Oryzias latipes: one gene and its partner. The protein of the gene in region 2 binds, or shares a complex with, the protein of the main gene of each other region. Links are inferred from orthologs where the notes say so. Each region holds a gene or a part of one and is shown on either strand. Other genes may lie near its edges. The genes, in order: pdcd10 and strn.

Evidence for each region.
Region 1: strn (region 2) and pdcd10 share a complex: the UniProt entries of both Homo sapiens proteins name them as parts of the core of STRIPAK complex. The link is inferred for Oryzias latipes from reciprocal best matches to the Homo sapiens genes STRN and PDCD10.

Annotation. Positions count from the first base shown.
Region 1 is NC_019880.2:9,011,087-9,015,398, forward strand, and holds the start of pdcd10 (programmed cell death protein 10), read right to left. Parts: upstream 2,916-4,312; 5' UTR 2,786-2,915; exon of another isoform or gene 2,562-2,785; intron 1,008-2,561; 5' UTR 831-1,007; coding exon 741-830; intron 433-740; coding exon 379-432; intron 1-378. UniProt on the Homo sapiens protein: Promotes cell proliferation. Modulates apoptotic pathways. Increases mitogen-activated protein kinase activity and STK26 activity. Important for cell migration, and for normal structure and assembly of the Golgi complex.
Region 2 is NC_019873.2:28,015,873-28,019,690, forward strand, and holds part of strn (striatin), read right to left. Parts: intron 3,385-3,818; coding exon 3,274-3,384; intron 1,348-3,273; coding exon 1,204-1,347; intron 1,136-1,203; coding exon 1,002-1,135; intron 1-1,001. UniProt on the Homo sapiens protein: Calmodulin-binding scaffolding protein which is the center of the striatin-interacting phosphatase and kinase (STRIPAK) complexes.

The DNA of each region.
Region 1 (4,312 bases), on a different chromosome or scaffold from region 2:
AAGAAATTTGTTTTATCCTTTTTCATTATAAAAGATGTAAAATATTATTATTATTAATTTCTGTTGCTTTTAAGAAGGTGAATGGAAAAATGACTTTGGTGAAAAATCTCAGCAAGTTCTTTTTTTTTAAAGCTAAATTCAACATGAAGGAAGTTAAACACAGAAAAGCTTTTTTCTTTTTTAAAGCAGAAGTCATTCATTTAATTTCCAGATGCCCTCCCCAACCATGAAGACGCATAACTCAACAATAGGATTTATTTTTTTAAATTACTGTACCCAATTGCTATGACACACATTCATACTCTTTGCAACATACATATGACAGGAGTGGGATCACATGATTTTACATTTCCTCTTGGTTGATTCACGAGGTCTCACCTTTATGAAAGCTGCCCTGAGCGTCTGAGCTGCTGATGGATTGATTCTCTCCAGCTAAAAAGAAGAAACAAAGAAAAAAAGTACAGGCCATTAAAAAACAAAACACACCAGGACAGAGAGCGGTGCTTAGCGTTAACAAAAACGTTCACAGAAAAGAGAAAAGATTAGAAACAATTTTTGAGAAGCATTTACTATTACAAAATTTTGAAAAAAGTTCAGAAATATCAATTCTTCTACTTTAGGTACTAAATTTGGATTTTATGATAAGAGAAACATCTGTCAACTTCAATTAAAACTCTATAAAAAATATGTATTTTTTGGACTAATGTTTTTTCATTTTTTAATTGTGATGGCAATGTTACCTCATTAAAAACTGGGAACATCACAGCATACAGCGTCATGGATACCATGGAGTTAGTCTCCGCTTCATTCTTCATCTCCTCCATTGTCATCCTCCAGGGAGGAGCAGCACTTGTTAAATTAGTGACAAAGAAAGTGCAGCTCTCGCACACTCACACATACACCCACTCACATACACACACAATCACTCACACACACAGACACACACACACACAGACACACATACACACACACAGGACAAGCCGCACAAGTTCCAGAATGCAAGTGACCTGCAAAGAAAATAAAACAACAATAGACGGTTATTGATGAAGGTTAGAAATTTGATTATCTTTATAAAAACCAGCTTTTGGTTTCCATTAACTTGATGGTGAATCATTGGTTTTACTTTTACAAAGATATTAGTCCTTGTTCAATTACATCGGTTCCAATTCCGCAAGAAAATAATTTCTAGATATGAGCCGAAATAATTTACAGAACTTGGTACCGAGAGGAAAAACAGAATATTGCTTAGCCTTGCTCCTAATTGGGGAAGTAGCTCTTCTATCTACAAGCTCCATTCATTCAAATATAAATTTCAAAACATTGTTGGCACATTGTGCAAAGGCGCAAATATTAGAGTAAAATCCATAAACAGATTTTTTTTTAATGGAAATAGACTGACATTCCAGCTACCATTAGAAAGAGCAGCTGGAATGGACAGCCTTAGGTTTCAGTCACACTTGACCTGTTCAAGTTAAAGAAAAAGAAATGATCCAAGTTAGTTTACAGCTTGTAAATGTTTCACTAATGCCATAACAGGGGTCTACCATAAAAGGAAAAGGAAAATAAAAAAATACCTGACTATATATTAGTCATAAAGCACAAAGGGGTAGGTACCAAGTGCCACTTCAGGGGGGGTACTTGGGGTTTTTAATAAAATAAGAAGCTAATTATAATTGTAAAAGTATAATGAAATCTAAATCCAATTTTATTATTGTTAAAGATATTTCAATTAAGATTTAAAATAATTCTCTATAATTCGTTCATAAATACAATTTTGTACCTACATTTATAGACTACTCTTATGAATTTACATTAAACCCCCAAAAAACAACAACATAGGGGCTTACCTAACCTAAAATGTTTTATGTTTTTTTTTTATCTGCAGAGATAAAACTCAAATTAAAGTTTTTCAAATAAATCTACAGTGCCACATAGTAGTTTGTTCTGTGATGATTAATAGCAGTTACTAAAAAGTAAAATCTGAAAAATAAAGAATCATACGCTAACCCGCCCACACAGAGGCTATGTTTTGACGCCAAAGGTAAGAGAACCTGTTGACTTTTTTAATTTGGTTAAGGGGAGTGGCACGCTTTAATAATGTTCCTTTTTTTTTAACAAAACCTCACTGTGAACTTAACTGAAAATCTAATTTAAATCTAATTACTTGACAAACAATATTATTATCGCTAAGTTTCTAAAACGCAACATACGTAAAGAAGTAACTAGTCACATTAGAAAAAAAAAAACTACTTCACAGACTAGGTAAGAATGACAAGTGTTCGTAGATGAAATATTACTGAAAACGGTGAGTGTAAATGCTTAAACAAAAGGAGACAAAGTTGGTCTAGTTTTTATTCGTATAATGGTGTCTGAAGCGCTGCTCGTCTCAGTTGGAAGCTAAACTGACCAGTTAACACTAGCTACCGAAATACAGATAGCCCTAGTAGGTGGTAGTGCTAACGAGCTATCAGAAAGGCTAAGTCGCTGACGTATCATAAAATTAAGAAATGTATTTTAAATAAAACGAAGTAATGTCAATGTTTAAAAAACAGCACTATTACCTGTTGGTGTTAAGTCACACATGTAAATCGATCTAATTTTAAAGACATTCACTTGAGGCCTATAAGCGATCGAATCGATATTAGCAAACTGCTAGCTTTGAATAGCGTAGCTAGCTCAAATAAATTGAAGCTTTAATCCCAAACGGCCCTAAACACTTACACAAACTGACTGCGCTGCGCAAATTATCCTATACTTGTAAAAAAAAAACGATATTTGGTTCTACCTTTGATCTGACTTCTTTAAACTGCTGGCTATTCCGTCGATTGCCTTTTAGCTCCTGTGTTTTCTTTACAACTTGAGGCGGAAGTTTCTTCGGACTGGCCCGAACGACATTTTCCGGACCATTGCTACGTAAACGCCCATTTATCCAATCAGAGAGCGGAAACCGAAACTGTGCAACATACGTCATTTAAATGCTCGCGTTTCAATCGTTGCAATCATTTTTCGAGTAAACAGTACTTTTATGGTTTCACATAATTAAATAATAAGCGAATATAAAATAACATCAATAATAAAATACTTTAAACAATAATTAAAAAAATTCATGATAATAACAATTACACACCAAAAAAAACAGGATGTATTTTATACCATGAACATAATTGGTAGTAACTCACAATAAAAGTATTTAATTACACAAACACTCAACTTTGTAAAATAACAGTTATGTAAAGTATTACCAATAAATATATTTTACATTTCACTCAGTGAATGTTTAGTAACTCTTGTATTACAACAGACTTGCCACCTCAGCAGTAGCCTATAGGTGTTGTAGGTCACTGTACGCTTTTTCACATTTTTGTCTCAAATTAAATTATGGAGACAAATTTCCTGTTAGGATAACTAGACCTAAAAAAATTATTTCCTTTTCATGTCAGGTCCATTTCACCCCTTAAATCCATATCTGCCTGACCTGTTGTTGTAAGTTAAGGGTGGTCATATTAACCTACTTCAAGTAGCATTTTATTTGTGGATATTAGTCTTTTAGAGGTACATAAGGCTTTTTTTTAGAGTAGTAATACTTTTCAAAAAAGTATAGACTAAAATGCCACTTTAAATTGTTATGGTTTGCTTGTGCAGGTACAAGCTTAAAGGTAATGCTTCAGGAGACATGTGAAGCAGTGCGATTTTGAGCCAGAATTCTTTTAATACAAGGCATTACTTCAGAAATGTGTTACGTTTTGGAAGTAACTTGCAAAAAACTGATTATAACCAAAGTAAAAGAAAAATTAAACATGTTTACTTAAAAAGGAGTAAAAAAAAACAAAACACTCCATTTCCACCACCCAAATGATGGTGTTAATTTTTTATATTATTTACAATTTCTCTATTTTTTATTAGGTTCAAGAAGTTGTCATCAAACTCTTTCAACCCTTTAACTATCCAACCAAGACAAAATCAAATTTTTAAAAAACTGTTTTTTTCTGCTGCTAATTACCTTGGGGGAGTAATTCACACAATGTTTTTTAATCTCAATTTTTCTAAATGTGCTCTACTGTTTGGTGGAGCAGGCAGTTGAGTGTGAACGCTGATCTGATTCTGCCCTCTGGAGGAAGAGCAGAAGAACAGTTTTATCACAAAAAGAAACACACTGGTAACCAACAGGAAACTTTCATCAACCTGAGAAACGGTAGTGAAAGCAGTGAGTCCACAGACAAACCCTTTCATTGAAAAATGTAAAGCTCACTGCATAAAACTGGTTTAAGATGTGGTCAAACAAATTTATAAGTGAATCTATTATTAAAGACAA
Region 2 (3,818 bases):
CACTTTAACTCAATGCATCATGGGAGATGTAGTGCAAACAGCCGCCAAACGCCAGACAGACTAGCGTCTCTGAGCTTCATGGTTTTGTTCACTTGTTCCACAGTCTGATACCGTCATTCTTATCAAAATGCCTTTAATAGAATCAAATAAACAGAAATAAACATATTCCTAACTACTCAGTGTTTTATCAGGGCCTCAACTCAAAACCTTCGGATCACTTCATCTATGAAATCAGTTCATTTGGGGGGGGTTTAGAGTTATTTTACACCATTCAAATTTGAGAATTTTAACTTATTTTAACTTTATTTATTCATTCCCTTTTTTATTTTGACACCGGCATATACACCATCCTTTCAAAATAAAACACATCCTGTGTGCCAAATAGGATCCTTTTGCTGCAGCAGTTTTGGTTTAAACAAAGGCAAGAGAGTTTGGCGAATCACTGTCATCCTTTTTCTCCTCTTACTATCAAATATAAATGTGATGAGATCAGTGTAGAATACAGCTTTTTTTAATTTATTTTTTAGAGAATCTTTAAGAACTTCTCTAGACTCTGTTGTGCAGCAGAAGAAAAGAACATGTTGAATCTTAAACCACTCTGACAGCAGACTGAACTTTTTACCATCACTTCTCTCAGTGATGTCATAAATGTGTACATAAATGATAAAACAAAGTTAGCAAAAACAAACAAACTAAAACTATAATTTTTTATATTGCCAGGATAGAGTAATAAAGGAGCTGCTTGTGGCTCCAGAGCCTCAGGTTACAGATCTAGAACATTTTAGATCTGTAACAATTTATCTAATAGTGTCAGGGATGAAATTATTTTGAAAAACAATTTAAAATATTATGTGATGAATAAAGAAGAAAAGGTCCAGGTGGACTGTTACTTTCATAGGGGTAAAATGGCTGAAGAGATGCTATTTTCCGTTGTCTGGTTGACCCGCTAAACGCAGACTTGTGAACGATTCGGGCCGGAAAAACCGGAACAGTTCACTCACATCGTATGCCAGACTCTCGACCTCGTTGGCCACGGTGATGCTGGCCAGCTCCCCGAGTCCCAGGTCGCTCTTCATAGCTTCGTCTGCGCCCATAATAAACGTCCCTGAGGTGGGCGGGAAAGCAAGGGTCTCCACTGCGGAGAGGAAACCTGATTATAACCAAAGTTCAAACAGAAAGGGGGCGGCGGTCTTTCTGAGGCACCTTCATCCGGCCGGTTTCCCTCGTGTTCGTTAAAGCGGGGCACGCTGGGTCGGGGCTGCGGGGCGGACGGAGGCTGCATGTGAGGCATGTCCTCGCCGTCCCTCAGGTTGGCCAGCATGTCCTGCAGCTTGGATCGGTTGGGTCCTGTTCACAGGTGGGGTTACACCGGTTAACAGAACCAACACATACTGATGGAGAACGGAGACGAGAGAAAAAGAGTGCAAACAAGCTGAGAGAAAAAAAGATGAAAAGATGGAAGGACTGGGAAGAAAGAAAAATAGATAAAGTTTGAAGAAAAGCAGTGAAACCTACTCAAAAGGTACATTTGCCTTTAAAGCCGCTGGTGTGGAGAATCACTGTAGTCTAAACCTGAATCTGTACGTTTTAACTGCCATCCTTTCAGAAGTGCGTGAGACAAAAACTACGATCCGCTCAGTCTGTCCTTTTGACACACTTTCCTCCGGCTCAGAGCTGTTGCTAAGCAACCAGCAGAGACCTAGGAAAGTTTCCTTGTGATGCTCAACAAACAAAGGTGCAATTGGCAACACAAAACTGTAAATTCCAGCTTATTTTTTTTTTAAATCTAACAACAGTTTTAGCAATAAATAACAGCAGTTAACGGCTGGTATGAACACGGCGCAGAAATGGATTATGAGGAGCTGCAACAGACAAAAATCGCAGGAACAGAAACTCTACATGGTGTCGTCCGAACACCCACAAAAAAAAAAACCACACACTCTTGGGGGGGGGGGGCTGTGTAAACAGCGTAGAAGGAAGGTGAGAAAGTGAGTGTTGATGTCACGAGCAGTCGCTGCAGAAGGAGAGCGGAGACTGGGTGTCAGAAATGTGAAATCTGTGGGCTGCTGAATGAGTCATCCATGCGGGTCACAGGAAAAGCTCTGATTTTGCTATCGAGCGGCAGAACATCAGCGGCTACACGACTTCTCCACGCGAGCCGAGCCGACCGATGAGGACCACGGCGGCAATCACAGAGCTACTGTGGCACGGCGGTCTGATCTTTCACGGTTAGCACGATGACGTGAAGATGAGAATAAGGCGATGAAAGACTGAAATGAGGCATGCACCAGGGTCAACCAAAGGGCAAAAGAAATCCTGAGCACAGATGCAGGTTTTGAAGGCACCGGAGAGGTCTGAAGAATGAGATGTGAAGAGGACAGAGAAGCAGAACGAGGAGCGGCGACAGAAGAAACTCAGAGAAAACAGTGAAGATGCTCCAATTTGGATTTGAGGCTGGTTTCTCAGGAAAGTAAAGCCTTAGTCACACTGGGGGGCTTGACCTGTACGGGTGCTGTGAGGCTTTCGGCTTTCGGGTTTCAGAGTGTTCCCAGTGCTCTTTTGATCAGGATTTTACCGTTTTTAGCCAAAATGAAAAAAGAAAAGAAACCCGTGTCGATATTTAGGACAGAGTTTCAGAGTTGTGGGCGGGAAAGTTGGCGTGGAGCAACCCAAACGAATGCATCTATAGACCCTTCGCCTGAGAATGGAGCAGAGCAGGGAGCTTGTGGCCCGGCGAGCAAATTTTCCGTCAAAAATCTTTTCCAAACAGCTTTTTTTTTCCACAACGATTTGATTAAAGAAATACTCAGAAATGCAAAGTTTTTGTAGAATTTTCTTTATCTTGCAGCTTCCTTGAGGCTCGTACAAGGACCTCAAGGGGCATCATTAAAACGGGACGTACCATTGTCGTGTGTATGTGTGGCAATAATGTAAGTTACACACACTTACAACCTACAGGTGATGCTGTCCTACAGTGTCGTCACGGCACATTCAAGGTGCCAGTACAGTCTCCTTACTAATTGTGCATAAGTGCTGCACACACTGGGTGATACAGAAGTGTTCATGGGATGTCCACACAAACTACACTCTGTCCATTTTCCTCCTGTCTAACGGCCAGACTGCAGCAGGTATTGACGGGTGCCACCCGTACAGGTTTGACCATTTTTCGCCCGCAGGAAGCCCGTCTCCACCCGCAGGTTCAGTTGTGACTAAGGCTTTAGGCTCTGCAGAATGAGAAGAAGCAGGGAGGCAGCAATACCTAGCAGGACTTACTCTTAACCCCCTTTTTCCCCTTGCGATCCTTTTTGTACTGTTCCTTGAGCTGGGTTATCAGGCCCGGGGCCACGTCCCAGGCCTCAGAAATGGAGCCTTGCTCGTTCTTCTCTACACAAGGGGACAAAACCAGACCGACAGGCTGTTGAGAAACTGCCCTGGTCCTTGCAGACAGAGAGCTGCAAACGCTCTGAGACTTTCAGATTCAAATCAATTTCATAAACGAGGAGGGCGGAGCTACGGGCCTCTCCTGACCCTCCTCTGTGTTTTCTTTCTGCTGGCAGAAAGAAGGAGGTGGATTTGAGAGAGGTTTGTGTCATGGTGGGGAATGTCTGACTTCAGCTTTTGAGATAAAATTGTCTTTTGTGGCTAAAGTCAAAGATTAAACCCAGCATGACATCAAGCTGATTGTTTTGACTCCAGCTAAAGACCAGCGAAGCTCAGAGGGGATCTGGGCGATCTGACGACAGACGAGTGGAAACATGTTGGTGTCACAGGCTGGACTTGTGAACATACAGTGGAAGAGAACACAAACTGCGTGTTAA